5 linked regions of the Xenopus tropicalis genome follow. The protein of the gene in region 2 interacts with the protein of the main gene of each other region in a biochemical or structural test. Links are inferred from orthologs where the notes say so. Each region holds a gene or a part of one and is shown on either strand. Other genes may lie near its edges. The genes, in order: adar, xpo1, abl1, ranbp3 and ranbp1.

The links.
Region 1: the proteins of xpo1 (region 2) and adar form a complex in vitro, tested with the Homo sapiens proteins (2 studies listed by BioGRID, with this or other methods). The link is inferred for Xenopus tropicalis from reciprocal best matches to the Homo sapiens genes XPO1 and ADAR.
Region 3: the proteins of xpo1 (region 2) and abl1 interact in a test that uses a peptide from one of them, tested with the Homo sapiens proteins (2 studies listed by BioGRID). The link is inferred for Xenopus tropicalis from reciprocal best matches to the Homo sapiens genes XPO1 and ABL1.
Region 4: the proteins of xpo1 (region 2) and ranbp3 form a complex in vitro, tested with the Homo sapiens proteins (2 studies listed by BioGRID). The link is inferred for Xenopus tropicalis from reciprocal best matches to the Homo sapiens genes XPO1 and RANBP3.
Region 5: the proteins of xpo1 (region 2) and ranbp1 form a complex in vitro, tested with the Homo sapiens proteins (3 studies listed by BioGRID, with this or other methods). The link is inferred for Xenopus tropicalis from reciprocal best matches to the Homo sapiens genes XPO1 and RANBP1.

The regions. Positions count from the first base shown.
Region 1 is NC_030684.2:142,279,576-142,283,097, reverse strand, and holds part of adar (double-stranded RNA-specific adenosine deaminase), read right to left. Parts: coding exon 3,395-3,522; intron 2,265-3,394; coding exon 2,012-2,264; intron 1,892-2,011; coding exon 1,758-1,891; intron 1-1,757. UniProt on the Homo sapiens protein: Catalyzes the hydrolytic deamination of adenosine to inosine in double-stranded RNA (dsRNA) referred to as A-to-I RNA editing.
Region 2 is NC_030681.2:33,568,544-33,572,065, reverse strand, and holds part of xpo1 (exportin-1), read right to left. Parts: intron 2,217-3,522; coding exon 2,035-2,216; intron 1,434-2,034; coding exon 1,385-1,433; intron 146-1,384; coding exon 26-145; intron 1-25. UniProt on the Homo sapiens protein: Mediates the nuclear export of cellular proteins (cargos) bearing a leucine-rich nuclear export signal (NES) and of RNAs.
Region 3 is NC_030684.2:12,824,035-12,828,033, reverse strand, and holds the start of abl1 (tyrosine-protein kinase ABL1), read left to right. Parts: upstream 1-1,182; 5' UTR 1,183-1,583; coding exon 1,584-1,743; intron 1,744-3,999. UniProt on the Homo sapiens protein: Non-receptor tyrosine-protein kinase that plays a role in many key processes linked to cell growth and survival such as cytoskeleton remodeling in response to extracellular stimuli, cell motility and adhesion, receptor endocytosis, autophagy, DNA damage response and apoptosis.
Region 4 is NC_030677.2:101,757,081-101,759,619, forward strand, and holds the end of ranbp3 (ran-binding protein 3), read right to left. Parts: intron 2,153-2,539; coding exon 1,966-2,152; intron 1,465-1,965; coding exon 1,421-1,464; 3' UTR 518-1,420; downstream 1-517. UniProt on the Homo sapiens protein: Acts as a cofactor for XPO1/CRM1-mediated nuclear export, perhaps as export complex scaffolding protein. Bound to XPO1/CRM1, stabilizes the XPO1/CRM1-cargo interaction. In the absence of Ran-bound GTP prevents binding of XPO1/CRM1 to the nuclear pore complex.
Region 5 is NC_030677.2:155,381,459-155,384,229, reverse strand, and holds the end of ranbp1 (ran-specific GTPase-activating protein), read right to left. Parts: intron 2,723-2,771; exon of another isoform or gene 2,591-2,722; intron 1,496-2,590; coding exon 1,371-1,495; 3' UTR 512-1,370; downstream 1-511. UniProt on the Homo sapiens protein: Plays a role in RAN-dependent nucleocytoplasmic transport. Alleviates the TNPO1-dependent inhibition of RAN GTPase activity and mediates the dissociation of RAN from proteins involved in transport into the nucleus.

The sequences.
Region 1 (3,522 bases), on a different chromosome or scaffold from region 2:
CCTTCCCCGCCTCTATGCTTCAGGCATAGGGGCAGGAAATTACTTTCGCTTTCCATTCAGCACTTCAGATAGTGCAGTATAAACAAGATTTTGGAATGATGCAAAGCCGTGATTGTGTACTGGCAAGCCCGAGGGAAACAAGATTTATATAATGAATGTAGTACAGGTATCGGACCACTTATCCGGAAACCCATTATGCAGAAAGTTCCAAATTACCGAAAGCCCATCTCCCAAAGACTCCATTTTAATCAAATAATTCACATATTTAAAAATGGTTTCCTTTTTCTCTGTACTAATAATAAAGTACCTTCTACTTTATCCGAACTAAGATATAATTACCCCTTATTGGGGGCAGAACAGACCTATTGGGTTTATTTCATGGTTAAATGATTCCCTTTTCTCTGTAATAATAAAACAGTACCTGTACTTGATCCCAACTAAGATATAATTACCCCTTATTGGGGGCAGAACAGCCCTATTGGGTTTATTTAATGGTTAAATGATTCCCTTTTCTCTGTAATAATAAAACAGTACCTGTACTTGATCCCAACTAAGATATAATTACCCCTTATTGGGGCAGAACAGCCCTATTGGGTTTATTTAATGGTTAAATGATTCCCTTTTCTCTGTAATAATAAAACAGTACCTGTACTTGATCCCAACTAAGATATAATTACCCCTTATTGGGGGCAGAACAGTCCTATTGGGTTTATTTAATGGTTAAATTATTCCCTTTTCTCTGTAATAATAAAACAATACCTGTACTTGATCCCAACTAAGATATAATTACCCCTTATTGGGGGAAGAACAGTCCTTTTGGGTTTATTTAATGGTTAAATGATTCCCTTTTCTCTGTAATAATAAAACAGTACCTGTACTTGATCCCAACTAAGATATAATTACCCCTTATTGGGGCAGAACAGCCCTATTGGGTTTATTTCATGGTTAAATGATTCCCTTTTCTCTGTAATAATAAAACAGTACCTGTACTTGATCCCAACTAAGATATAATTACCCCTTATTGGGGCAGAACAGCCTTATTGGGTTTATTTAATGGTTAAATGATTCCCTTTTCTCTGTAATAATAAAACAGTACCTGTACTTGATCCCAACTAAGATATAATTACCCCTTATTGGGGGCAGAACAATCCTATTGGGTTTAATTACGGTTTAAATATTTTTTTAGTAGACTTAGGATAGGCAATCCAAATTACGGAAAACCCCAGGTCCCGAGCATTCTGGGTAATGGGTCCCATACCTGTATAGGTAAAGTTTATTTTGTTCAACTAACATGATATAAAAGGATTTGGAATTATTTCTTTAAGGTGATAGGTCCCCTTTAAAGACCAAGTTGGCAGCTTATTTGCCCGTGTATGGGGCCCTCCAACAGGCCTCCCTGACCGATATCTGTCCACGTTGATGGGACAGGCTTGATTTTTTGTCGGATCGTGGACCGCATTGATATAGCCAGACCCAAGGTGGACATATGGGGGGGGGGGGGGGGGGGGGGGGAGATTTGTTCATTTGGTGACCTTGCCAAATGAGCAAATCTTACTGTGTATGGCCACCTTTACTTACACAGCTCCACCTTTACTTACACAGTAAGAAACTTGTTTCTTACTACAGTTATATGGGCTAAACACGAACTTATCCACAACGGCACTGCCAAGACATTTCAGCAGGGTCTTTATGTACCAGTCTGCTAGAGAAGAGCCCCCCCCCCCCGGAGATTCCTGGCAGTTACTGCTGGCACTTACTTCGGGTCATGGGGAGGTCCTTCTTGAGACACGAGCTGGAACTCGCACATACTGCCAGACTTCTGCCCGTGCTCCATGAGAATGCTGATGGGATTTTTGGTGCTGGGGAAAAATGGCTGTGCCGGAACTTTCAGCTGCGGAAGCAAACGGATAAACCTATTTCAGAGAGAGGCACTACTGTGAGAGAAAAGAGCGGTCTGAACCGGACAAACACAACCGGGATAAACACTAATACGAATAGTAATCTTACTTACCGGCAGGGTTTGTAATGGCACAAATGTCTGAATGGTGTGAAGGCCCCCGGCACCCCCACGTGAAGCACCCACCTCTTCTTTAACGTCTGGAAGTTGTGCGCCCTCTGCCATGACCTCCTCTTCCGTCCCGCCCTGCTCCTCGCGCAGGAGTATACGGAGAGCCAGAGCCGCTGCATCTTTTTTGGCCGTCTTTTTGCTGCTGGCTTCCGCCACCGGGAAACTGCGCCCGTCGATCACTGCCTGGATTTTGAACCTACGGCAAGGGGGACAGAGAAGCAATTGGATTTTGGCAGGGTGCGGTGTAAGGCAATAAACTGAAACGTGAGGCCCTCAGGATGGAAAAAAAAAAGAATGGGGTGTATGAAGTTAGGGCCATTTGGCCCTAGCAACCAGATAGCTGCTGAAACGCCAAAGTAGAGAGCTGCAGAACAAAAAGTAAAATAACTAAAAAAATGACAGCATGAAGACCAACTGCAGATTGTCTTAGGGTGCCCATACACGTTAGGATTTGGTGATCTTGCCAAGCAAGCGGATCTTCACCCGATATCCCCACCTAAAGGTGGGCGATATCGGGGAGCGTGTAGGCTAATTCGATCGTTTGGCCAATTATATTGGCGGCAATGGGGGCAGTCAGTTCGGGGACAGCACCAACGAGCCGTTGTGGTCCCCGATCCGACTAGATTTTCTAACCTGCCCAATCGAGATCTGCCCGATTTGAGACCAGATATCAGTTGGGCAGGCCTGTCGGTAGGCCCCATACACTGGCCGATTAGCTGCCGAATCTTTCTAAGGGACCCATATCAGCAGCTACAATCGGCCCGTGTATGGCCACCTTTAGAATAGCACTCTTTTCGCCATGCTAAAGGTTTACTCAAAGATGAAAAACCCCTTTAAGCAACACCTTGAGATCTGCTTCACTGGCAAGGTCAAGCAAGTGGACAAATGCCAGGTCAGAGTGTTGGCCAGTAAACCAATGCCCAGATTATATAGCAAGCCTATGGATTTTTAAACCTGCCCAATAAATACCGATCAGACCATTGGGAGGCCACCATATAGGGGCCAATAACCTCCTGATGCAGTGGAGGGGCCAAACCAGCAGCCCATGTTATAGCCAGCTTAACCCTTGATGTAATGGGCCAGTGGGCTATTACAGTTACTGTTTCAGGCATCATTCACTGACATGTTTCTTGCAGCTTCTCAGTGAATGAGTGTGCTCTATTTGCCAATGGGAAATGCCCAAATGAAGTGACCAATAAACAGAGCCTGAAATGATGAAATCACTGAAAATATATGGGGCTCAAACCTTATTACCCCTCTCCTTTTTTTAAAAAGAAACCTCTTGCTAAAATGTACCCTGGGGATTTGAGTGATGATTAACCTTACCGGGGGTCATGGGAGGGCCCGCTCTGGTTGAGGAGGACAAAGTCACAATGCTGGGAGCAGTAGTGGGTAAACTCCAGGAGGCCACTCACGGGGTTCTTCTCTCGGCACGCCAGCAGCTTCTCTAGCCG
Region 2 (3,522 bases):
TATAACAAATATAAATGAACTGCACCTTATATATGAGCGTGCTGATGAGTTTGGTTTCAAAGATATATCCTAGAGGAATCCAGTTAAGAAATCGAAGGAGCGTTTCCAGAGTAGCATGAACAAGTGGAGCATTTTGTGAATTTTCCTAAAAATTTTTAAAATATTGAATTAGCATAGATTAGTACTAGTACAAGATGCATTGCCTGTTCTTACAATTAAGCATAAAAAGGTTTTATATTTGAATACCAGTTTCTAACTGTATATTATAAAGAAAAGTGTACACTATGGATATATTAGGGGTCAGTAACAAGTGCAAGAGCATTTGCAGGGCTGCAAGTTTATCTGCATCAGTCGCATAAAAAAAAAAATTAATATCAACTTTCAAGTTTGGAAAATTGAGTTTGTTTTTCTAAATCAAACAAACTCCTATATTGAATGCTCATTTATTTATTTATTAATAAGGAAAACACTTGAATACCTCAAATTTTTTCGAATTTACAAACTCAAAGAACTCAAGTTTGAATATGTAGTTTGACTTGCCTAGGACTTCCACTGACTTCTATAGAATCTCACAAGCTTTTAGATGGCAAATTTTTGCATTTGAGTTTTTGGGTATTTTGCACTTAATACCAGATATTCAAGATCTTGAAACATAATTTGAGTTCAAGTTTAAGAGCAAAAAAACTTGAATGTTGATAAATCTCCCCCTAAATGTACTGGCGTCAACCATGTTCTAGCACAGGGGTGGCCAATATGTCGTTCTCATGTGGATTTCTGGTGGGCCGCAATGAAGCCGGGGATGCGGAAGTGCTGCGTGAATGCATACGTATGCTGCGTCACGTATGTACTCATTCACGCCGCACTTCCGCATTCCCCGGTCATCAGTTGATCGGCGATGAGAAAGGTCTGGCCACCCCTATTCTAGCATGTTGTTATACTTGGCACCACTGAATGCCTCCTTTTGCCAGGCCACTTTAGGACGCCTGGCACTACTGCCACCTCTGAACCAGGCAGTAGTTCCAGTGCTCACAATGGCCTGCATCAACTGTTGAAGCAAGACTCAGCAGAACACATCACTCTCATCTCAGAGATTATTCCAACTGAAGCGTAAGCACTAATTTAGACACACTGCCTGCAATCGCTTCAGACGCATTTCCCCTGGCAACCACAATTACATTGGAATTATGTGAAAATGTTGCACTGTGGGTAAAAAAAAACACATTGTGTTGGAAATTTGTACTTTGCAAACTCAGAAAAATTAAACCCTTCTAACTACCCAAAATAGAAACCTCATTGTGACAATGCTAGTGCTAGAGACTATTTGCTGAAATGTTAACAAAATTTTTATTGTGGCAAAAACAGAGCAGCAACTGCTGTAACTTACCATTACAAACTGACACAGCTGAAATATCTGGGAGAACTCATTGCACATACTGCAAAGGGAAAGGAGCTTTCAGTTATTTATCAGCAGAGAACAGAATATAAAAACATAGAATAGAATATGTAATATATTTGTATACTTTGAGCCACATTTATAGAAATCACCTTCAAAAGGCCCAAGAGAAATATTTTAGAAAAGGATACTAACATTTTTAAAACTCATTGCTAAATCATCCCCACAGCTAGGGTTCCAGAGGGCCTTATTTTTAAGGTGCAGCTGCTATGATATACCATCTCACTTAGGAATTATTCATATACAATATTAAGTCATATTAAATAAAAAATTGTAGTGTTTTACTTAGGACATCTCAGGAAAGTAACAATTTAGTGGGTCAAAGACATATGTATGGTTAGTCATGCGAAGACGTGCAGGCATACCTAACCAACACAACCTCTATGGCAGGGTCCTAATTTCCCATTTTTGATGAGAAAGGTTTCCTTAGCTTTTTAGCACTAAAACATAGCACAATCGCACTCGGTTAAGACCAGGGTCTCTAACTGTCGCAGAATGCTAAATATGTATAGCCAGTATATTTACAAAACAAAGTATACACGAGCAGAAAGAAAGCAAGGGTGCAAGGTTATTAAACAAACCTGTCTTTCAGGTGTTTGGCTTTCACTTGTGTTATCTGACCACTGGAAAAATCAAAAACTTCTTCACTTAACAGTTTCAGAATGACCATGTTGTTCTGACAAAGGCTTTCACTGGTTCTGCTTGCTCCCACAATATCACTGATAAACGTGGGCCAATGTTTAGGCCATTCCTGTTTTAATATCTAAAAATGAAAAAACAGTTGAAAAATTACATTGATGTACCTGAATGGAAGGTTTATTCACTATATAATACACAAGAGGAAAAACCTCTAAAATTACCTTGTAAATGGTGCTTAGTGATGTGATTTTTGGTGATCTGGAATGTTGTGTACATCATATGACATACAGAAACATGATTTAAACAATTAACTATTAAAAAAAAAAACAAAAAAAAAAAAACAAAAAACCCTTAAAGAAAGAAATTCCCCCATGCCCAGTAAAAAGCACTATGCATGAGGTCTCTTGTATTTATATGGTAGTGATGAGCCACTTTGACTCCTATTAGTGTTATATTTTATCAAGGGCAGGGAGCTGGGTCACATTCCATATATCAACTTTTAAAGGAGAAGGAAAGGCAAAGTCACTTGGGGGTACCAAAATGTTAGGCACCCCCAAGTGACTTGAATCGCCTACCTTTTACCCCGGGCTGGTGCCCCTGTACGGAGAGAACAGCACCAGCCCGGGGTACCTGCAGCGCTTACTCCTTCCTGCTTTGCGAGCGTGCGCATGTGCAGTAGAGTGAAAAGCCGAACTTTAACAGAGAAGTCGGCTTTTCACTTTACTGCGCATGCGCCTATGTGTTAGTCTTAGTGAAACGCAGGCAGAAGGAGGAAGCGCATCGCTCCAGGTACCCCGGGCTGGAGCTGTTTTCTCCTAATAGGGGCACCAGCCCGGAGTACAAGGTAAGCGATTAAAGTCACTTGGGGGTGCCTAACATTTTAGCACCCCCAAGTGACTTAGCCTTTCCTTCTCCTTTAAAACGAATGTCTTGGCTATTTTTTCTGAGGGTTACAGTTTCCTTCAGGTGTTATAATAACACATTTTAAATAGTATATCTAAAAAGTAAACTTTTCCAGTTCATTAATAAATCCAGCCAGTGAGCAGCAGTAAGCCTTGTCTAAGTTCCATGGAGCTTATTAAAACGAAATGTTAGGGTCAATTTGTTTTTCTTCTAATAATTTCTCTGTAGCTAAAAAGATTCCATAGAGATTTTAAGTTTAATGTGATAAATGTGTGGCTCTACAAAGTGTACTGATGTATACAGTAGTAGTACTTACTGGTTTTACACTGACTTTTAGCTAATGCACAAAAATCACCTCTCCTTGTTTATATCTTTAAAGATCCTTCCCAACTTTTAGTCTTATGACACAAGACATGTTTGCTGCTGCTGTGAAGCAACTGTCATTGCTGATGTTGTGAAATGGAATGTCACAGAACTCTCATTTGAGCTTTTTATAAGCAGAGGTCCACGTGTCACAGATCAGCCAG
Region 3 (3,999 bases), on a different chromosome or scaffold from region 2:
AAAATATCAGTTTATCAACCATTCTAAATTAGTTACAATAGAGATATATCACACCCAAATCTAACCCCTAGTGACCTTCAGGCTGGGCTTTTGAATGACCATCCCTGCCGTAACTGATCAAGGTAACCCACCTCCTACTGCTCCTGTGCCTAGAAGAATGCATTGGCTGGCATATAGATTATTTCGGATTTGGCTGGAGAATGTTCCTGAAACTCATAAGTTCCATAGTTCATTAATATATGAATGAGAATTCCTCATTGTTCTGCTGTAAACTGTGTGTGTAAGCTTTCTTCTGCTTGAGATTCCATTATCTCACCTCTCTAATAGGGAAGGTAGTACAGCATATATACCCGCCACAAGGAAAGATGGTTACTCAGGCCTTGCTGAGCAGATTAGGACTTTGCAGTCCAAATCCTGGTTGGGTAGCCTGCTCTAGTGAGCAAGTATTCTTGCTCTCCCACCTCCAATGGTAATGCTATTTAGTTGCCCTTAACTGGTTGATCTGCCTCCGGATTCATGTCACTTTCGGCCCACGGTGACATCACTTCCGGTTTTCCTGGGTTACAGGGTTGGAAGGTAATTTAACTCATTGTGGATAGGTTTGGGTTGCAGGTCTGGGAAGGGGGTATAGCAGGGTGGGGGGGGTACAGACCCATGCAGGTATCTACCTGGCTTAGTCCTAGATCTGCTGAAGACCAGGATGGGTTTTAGGAGGATACTAAATGTATTGCAGAACCAGATATATCTATAATGCTGCCAGCCAGGGCACTACAGGAGGCAGGCGTTTTTTATCATTAAAAACTTGGAACGATCTGGATCTATTAGCAATATTATCTCTCAAGGGCCACCATACAAAATGCATGGAAATCACCTTATTAGTAATCATTATTCCAGTTCAGCCCAAATATCCCCTTATCGTTTTCTGTGTGCAAATAGCTATTGTACTCAGTGCTGTGCACAGTATCCCCCTGTATATCTTATGCAGAGATGGGGGGAGTCTGAGGTCCCCATAACCAGAGCCATCAATCAGAGCTGAATTACAAGTCTCCCCACTAACTTTCAGCCTGGGATATTGGGAGAGAGTTCGTCAGGCTGGAGGGCTGAGCATCCAGGACAGGGTTAACAATGCTCTGTGCATATGTAGGCGTTGCCAGACCTCGGATGTCATCACTAGAGGCAGCCAGAGCATGAAGGGGGCCCTTTGTTGGCAGTCTAACGTAAGCAGCTCTCCCTGCCTAACACAGCCTGCCTAATGGACTGAGAGAATGAGCAGCGGAGGAGTCCCACCGTTCTGCAAGAACTTAGCCTGAAGAGTACCCAAGTTACACTTTTCTGCCTCCGGGACCCCCCCTCCTATAAAAATGGGTGAGATTGACCCCCAGGGGTCGGTGGCGTGAATCCCTGCCACCCAAAGCATCAGAGAGCCTCTCCGAGCCGGGGGCCTTGGGCTTCTTTGCTTCTCTTTGGCTTTTGCTGCTTTCCAGTTCCATAAAGGAGGGGAGTGAACCACAGCCCAAGTGCGTCAAACAGACTTGGAATCGACCAGGGCCAAGTGGCCTGACCCGAGCTGGTCTTCTCCTCGCATGCTGGAGGGTGGGGAAGGGAAGAAAAAGTGCAGGAGGCAGCAGAAGGGAGCGGGCGCATCCTGCATGCAACACATGAAAATGTTGGAAATCTGCTTGAAGTTGGTGGGTTGCAAATCCAAGAAAGGGCTCTCCTCGTCCTCCAGCTGCTATCTCGAAGGTGAGATAAGGGGGTGTCAGTGGGGAAAAGGGGTTGGGCGGAGGCAGAAAGGAGGGGGTTCCACTGGCCCAGGATTTGGCCGCAGCCAGCTGGAGTGCTCCAATCTCTAATCCCCTTCTCCTAGGCCTCAGCACAGATTAGATGAAGGCTGCTTCCCCCCTCGCTCCAGGCAAGGATTACATAAACATTCAGGCTTGCCTGGCGCTGGCTAGCTGGGACGGCCTAGCAACAAAGGGGTTAATTAACCCCGTGCAGCTTGTGTCACTACCACTCCCAGCATCCTCAGCTGGCCCAAAGTTCAAAAAACAACCACTCGACCCGATGTTGGGCGTTTTCTGGCCAAAAAAAAATACATTTTTATAGCATTTCCCACATCCTGTCATGCGTTTGCTTAGGAATGGCTGATCATGGGGTTCCTGGAGATGGGGGGTCGATAGGTAGTGCCCCTCGAGGATTGCTGTCATCTGGGGCTGGCACTCCACCTGTGGGAACTAAGTCCCACTGCCAACTTGCCCGCCTTCCCCTCGGCCCCCGCTCCACCGCAAGTTTATTTTTCACTTCTTCTGGTGTCCTCAGGCTGCAGTTTTACTGTTCCACTTGCGTCACGGAAGGAAGAATCCATTCTATAACCCACTCTCTCCCATGGGGGGCAACAGATGGAGTAGCCAAAGGCCTGGAAACCTTCTGTTATACCCACAAAGCCATCGGGTTCTGTTTGTTTATACGTGCGAGTGGCAGCAGCCATATTGTTTGCCTTGTCCAAGGCCACGGTTTCTTGAACTTTTTCTCAGGGGGCCCAAGTTACCATATACAGCTTAGGACCCAATTGAGGGTCCTCACCCATGCATTTACTGTCTCGGGCCTTTGCTCCCTATGGAAAGTGCCCCAGCCTAGGCAAGCAGTGTGGCAGCACCCACTCACGCATCTTAACAAACCTGGGCCCAGTTTGGCCACCCACACATAGGGCCAAATTGGACTGATCCAATCATTGGCCTGGGGGCCTACAGGCCCATCAGATGAGGACCACATTCACACACCAATTTTCTCCTAGGATGGAAACATTAACCCTGCCCAATCGATATCCTGTCCATTCTTGGTCAGATATCATGCAGGCAGACCCCTTGGTGGGGGGCCCCATACACAGGCCAATACATTGCTGACTTTGGCCAAATTGGTCAATTTGGCCAACTTAAATTGATGGTTCACCTTTGCATTAACTTTAAGTATGTTATAGAATGTCCTATTCCTAGCAGCTTTGCAGTTGGTCTTCATTGCTTATATTTTTTTTATAGTTAAATCGATTGCTCTGCGAGGCTGCAATTTATTGTTAATATTACTTTTTATTACTTATCTTTCTATTCAGCCCCTCTACTATTTATATTTCAGTGTCAAATTTAAAACCAGTGCCTGGTTGCTACGGTAAGCAAGACCCTAGCAACCAGATAGCTGCTGAATTACCAAACTGGGAGAGCATCTGAACACAAAGCAAAAAAAATGAAAACCAATTGCAAATTGTCTCAATTACTTCTTGCAGAGCATAATGAGCGAATACAGTTACCGATAGCTTTGTAACCAGTGACCGCGAGGGATGAATTGATATTGAGAAGTTGGTTTGAATTGGATTTTCTGTCATTAGGCAACTTTTTATATTTGGGTTTATATCCCCTTTAAATATGGCAAAGTGCAAGTGGCGCTACCAGTTGCTTTCCCGCACACCCAAGCCCCGCCTCCCCGCAGCCCCAAGCCCCGCCTCCCAGCAACGCTTGACAGAAAGTTTTCTGTTTACTCTCCCTCCGGCGCTTATTGCAAAACATCACTATTTGTCCAATTTCTCCCTTTTTTTTTTGTCTGTGCGAGCGCTTATTATCGGCAGCGGAACCAAATCGCCGTGGCGGGGTCGGCTGCGCATAAACAGGAATATTGTGTTAATCATTTTCATTAACTCGGACGTGATTTCCTTCATTGAAATTATTGGCTTCACTCGAGAGATTTGGCTATTATGTAGGCTCGTTCCATTATTGGCAGAAAGGGGGGGGGGGAGAGAGAGCCTGCTGTTCTCATTAACTATTTCAGCACCCGGGGAGACGGAAATAGTGATTATGGGAATGCCATAGGAATTATTATTAGAGGAGCAGAGAAAGCCATCGCAAAAGGGAGGCCAGAGGTCATTTCACCTGCGCCGCTGAACTGGCGGCTTCATCTGGAAATTATTCTTCTTGTTCCCCCCCAGGCACTCAGAAAGGCAATTATCCTGAC
Region 4 (2,539 bases), on a different chromosome or scaffold from region 2:
TTACAGACTACTGGAAATTGGTGTTTCGCCGATGACTATACACTATCTTTTATAAAAATTTAAAGCTGGACCTTTTGGATATTTATAGGACAAAGCTTTCGAGCATTCTTCAGTAAGAACACCCAAATGAATATTTGTTGTTAATGGTATATTATTGTGTAATGATGTTCTGCATTAGAACTCCCAGTTCATTTAGTTTCTCACCTAACTTATATGTTATGCAGTTTTAGGATAACAGTAAGGGGCATCTTATTCTTTTCAAACCTCTCTCACAATATGCCTAATAAACAAGGTTACCTTTAATGGCTGAACAAGTTAGTACTTTTTGTTCCCAAGGACAATGGGGTACAAAGTAGAAAATACTGGTGTCCTCAAAAGGCATTTGAAAAGCCCTACCAATGTTGTAATACCATGTGTCAGTGTACACCACAGTGGTTCCCTAACCTGCCATGGAAGCGCAAGACACGCAATCAGAGAAGAACAAAAGGAGTGGAAATGAACTAAAGGAAAACAATGATGAGAATACAGAATTCCTTAACTCTTTCCCTTAAATAAGGATACAAAAAAATAACATTTCACTTTTTTAGCACACAAAAAAAAGCATATATGTCAAACTAAAAAAATATCTTGAAGCACAACAGAAAGTTACCCAGAAAAAGGAAAGGAGAAAAACTGGAATATCCCATTTATAACCAATAGGTTTTAAGTCTTAAAGGAGAATGCAATTTGTCCAAGAGTGTTTTTAAAACTGTGTGTAGCTCCAAAGTGTATTCCAATTTGATAAGCCACAGATGGCAGTCATTTAAAGTTTAGAAGTGGAGGGACTTGGGAAAGGTAGGATGGTCCTATACATCTCTCAGAAAATGGGTAGGTCCTGGTCAAGAATCCAAAAATAAAAGCAATGAAGGGCATGAAAAAAATTTATACATATATTTACACACACAGATTTTTTTTGGAGGTTGGGGGGACGCAATAGGAAAAGACTGAGGCAACATTTCATTATATAAAAAGAAAATTACATTTTTGAATGATGGTATTGTCTTTGCTGTCAACTTCAGTTACAAGAGGGTGGTGGGGCAGGTGGAAATTTTCTTTGGCTCATCAATATGATGAGCGGTTATATCCTCAGACATCCAGGCAAAAGCTCTTCATGTATAAGATTGGATGGATTCCACGTGTAACATCTTCAGGGGGAAGAAAAATAAAAATACCTTGATAGGAACCCAAAGTATGTTTATTCTGATTTAACGTGAAAAAAAAAAAAAAAAAAAATAGCAGTTCCAGGGGATGGGTGAGAAGTCTGTGTCCTTAAGCTCTGCCTTGCTTTTAGGAGCTGGTCTTCAATACTCCATAAGGTTAGAAGGGAGCGGTGGACTATCACCCAATGAGGTTAAAGGGGAGCTGTTGTAAGAGGTGGGTGCTATGTACTGGATGCTGGTAGCTTGTCTCCCTCGTCACCGGGTGCTGAAACAAGAGAATAAGTGTGTTATAAGGGGGAAATCCCTTAAAGGGCACCCATTACCCTAAAATTGCTTCCCCCGCCAGAGATGGGGGCTAATAGAGCCCGCTCTCCAGTTAGGGGGGGGGGAAAAAAAAGCCTCCTACATGATTTGGGCAGCCATGTTGTGATACTTGCATGGGCATAACAAGCAAGTGCCACAACTTGCTCATTATACACATGCATGTGAAGGAGGGCAGTTGTGCATAATGAGCAAGTGGGGAGTCTCATTGTGTGCACATGCGCTAAATAACATGGCTGCCTGCACTGGTAGCTCCCAACCGGAGTGTGGGTTCTATTAACCTGCACCTCTGCTGGGGAAAACAAATTTAGGGTGATAGATGTCCTTGAAGGTTACTTTTGATCCAAATAAAACATCAAAATTAAAATTGTGTAATATCTGATTTTGTGATCTAAATGTAAAAAAAAACAAAAACACACTAAATGTCTCTTAAAGAAAATATTACCTCCAACATTTGCCCCTGAGGGGGTGAGGACATCGTCATCATCATCACTGTCCTCTTCAATGGACTGGGCCACTTCCCTAACAGGTTCTGGACACTTTATTTCAGCCTCCTGCTCAACATGACTCCTTAAAGCAAGGATGCGGTGATGTAATGCAGCAAAAAGCTGTCCAGTATCTTTAGAGCTTGCCTGATTGAACAAAAGAAAAACCTGTTAGCCTCTCTGGCAGCTAAATTACAAGTCTATTGTAACATATTAACAAATATAGACTGTTTTTATTACTGGGGTTTCAGCTGCTAGAGAAGCTACTAAAATCAATTACCAGCTATTCGTAAGTGAACTTTTCCTTATCACCAAGCCTAAAAAAGTTGCGACTTCAAGCAGCATTTACTATCTTATGTAAGATGAGGGAATCAATCTTAAATTAGTATTATATAATGAAACAAAATAAGGGATTTTTTTTTTTTAAATAGTATAGGAAGAACACCTTTTAAACACAAAAGCTTACATATTGTGCTCATGAGTGTACAAAGATACTGCTAGATCCAGCAGGCGAAAGGGATACATAATGTTCTT
Region 5 (2,771 bases), on a different chromosome or scaffold from region 2:
AGTCAGTGCCCCACTAACCCTAGCAAACCAAGGTGTTTAAATTCCACATTGAAGTGTAGAACACACACCACTACCTTACTTGTAAAGTATGACGACATTTATACAGGCCTGTCATTACTGAAATACAGTGCCACGGGAACCTAAGGCTGCAACTTATGAACATTTGAACAGCGACCATAAAATCTGCAGTTAAATAATCCTACTCTTGTGCTTTTACCTTTCTGAACTAGGATAGTGCCAATTATAAAAATGTTGTAAACCATAAGGAAATTGTAAGATTGCTATTTAATTAGAATGCAGACAGCAAAGCATGAGCTGGAACAGATTTCTAAGCAATGGCAGAATACAAATATAAAGTAGCACATACACTGGCAATGCAAGATGGTTTTTTTTTTTTTAAATATTGACATACTTTGGAGTGCAGATTTTTATCAATGGATGCAAATGTGTCTTTTAGCAGCACTTTAATGTCTTTTAAAAAATGGTGCGTGAAAAGTAAAAGGCACAAAACTGACTAGTCAGCCCCTTTATTAATACAATTCTTTACAAATCCTGTATGCCCATACCCATACAGGGGTGCTCTGTAACAGACTACTTACACATTTCTCCAAAAGAAAACAACTTGTGTCATTTAGATTTAAGACTCAGCACAGCAAATCCTGCAGGCATTGCATTCTATATGTAATGGTAATTTAAATGTAAGCAATACAGTACAGTAGAAGGGTTAGTGGAAGAGATCTGTAAGCTAAGCTAACACATGCATCTTTTCCCCCCAAGTGTAGAGAAAGAACATGTGGCACAAGACAACCTAGTCTTTGGTAATCCAATGCTAACCGATGCTTCACAACATTTTGTGGAAAGGATGTATGAGAGTAAATCAGATTAAGGCTGGGGCCCTATAAATCATTAATTTCTGCTGGCATTCATGGAAAACAAAATGTATCAGTCATCAGCTGAAATTTATTCTTCAGTTAAAGTCATACTACCAAGGGCAAAAAAAAACACACCATTCATCCAATCAAACCTTCCTGAAGTTATGCAGTGTTGATTGAGATTACATATCCTTGTTTTCAGCCCCAAGACTGCCACTGCTGAAACATTTCATTTATACATAACAATTGGAGATTAAAGTCCCATTCTTTGAACTTTTTTTTTTTCAAACTGGCTTTATTCAATAGTATGGATGACTATAAATAAGTGTTTCCACTATGGAAAAAGAAAGTGAACAGTACATTTTCATGACCGGGGAATGGATTTTTTTCTTCTTAAGGGCAAAAGCTTAGAAAAACAACCTGAATGTTTAAACTCAGTTCTTTTTACTTTGTTATAAAGTCCCTTGTAAAAATAAAAGGTACAAGGCTCTGGATGATTTATTGCTTTTCCTCTGCTTTATCCTGCTTGGCATCTTCTTGCTTGTCCTGCACTTTTGCCTCCTTTACAGACAGCTCTTCTAGTTTTTCTGCCACTTTGTCGGCACTATCATTTTTGGTTGTATCTGATAAAAAAAAAAAAAAAAACTGGTTTCAACAAACACTGACAATTTCATATACAGTTACCCTTAATACACAGCATCCCCTTTCAAAATTGTGGAGAAAATCATTCATTCCACATATCCCCCAGACTCCTCAGTTTAGTTGCGGTTAGTGCTACAACTTAGAAGACTATTTTTTGTATGATGCGGGTGCACAATGTTATTGTGTTACAGGTTGTATGTATAGAATGATGCACCAAACATTTGTAAACATTCATGAGATATTTTATCATGATTTAATATGTGTTAATAAGTAGAAATTTAGTGTGTGCACGCAGCCTTTGGTAAGCTTAGAAAGGCAAAAAAGCCATGTTCAAGTAGTTTGCAATGAAGATACTTAACAAGACACTCTTTGCTAGTTTGGTTAAATAGCAGCATATATAAGGCTATATTCAAGCAATCATGACACTGGTTCTGCATTGTTTACCTCTTGAATTCACATTTTTGCAACCAAACATGTAGTCACTGCCTTACAAGACCCTGAAACCATTCAATTATCTAATTCACTGTAAAATAATTAGACTGGCAAAGGGTAAGGATTATTTTAACGTCACCAACTTGATCAGTATTAAACACCCAAGATGTGTATTTCTTCTGCAAATGGTAATGTGTTTCAGAAAAAGTATTACAGAGGAAGGGGAGTTTCACTTCAACTACTCCCACTGCCAAGACAGTCTTTACTCAGTTAACAATAGGTTTCATATTGGGCCCAGCGGGGCTCAAAATGTTGTCTGAATATTAGAATATGGGCTAAATAAATTATGTTTTTTCAAAGATCAGTGTTGTTCGATATTTTTGCTGGAATATATCGACCCTCATACAAGGTAGGGAAGGGTCTTTTCAGTACAAGCAGCTCAGACCTACCTAGAATCACCTACAGTGGGCTGAGCTCATCAGTCTTATATATTGCATGGTTAAGTAATGTTATCAGCACAACAGTACACTTTAGGTCTTGAACAATTATAATTACCTTTTCTTTTAAAAAAGCTTTAGCTGTATTAGTAAAATTCCTGAACAAAAAAAACAAGGCCTAAGAGTAATCACAGCATATTGGTTCAGATAACTATCCCATGATCTACAAGTAGCATTTCTTAAAAACTAAGAAAGCTTTGATGTTGATCTTGCAGTTTATTTTGCAGACTTAAAAAGCACCAAAACTGGAGGCTGCAGTTAGGTACAGAGTGAGTCTGCAGTTAGGTACAGTGTGAGTCTGCAATACTTACACTGACAATCTATGATT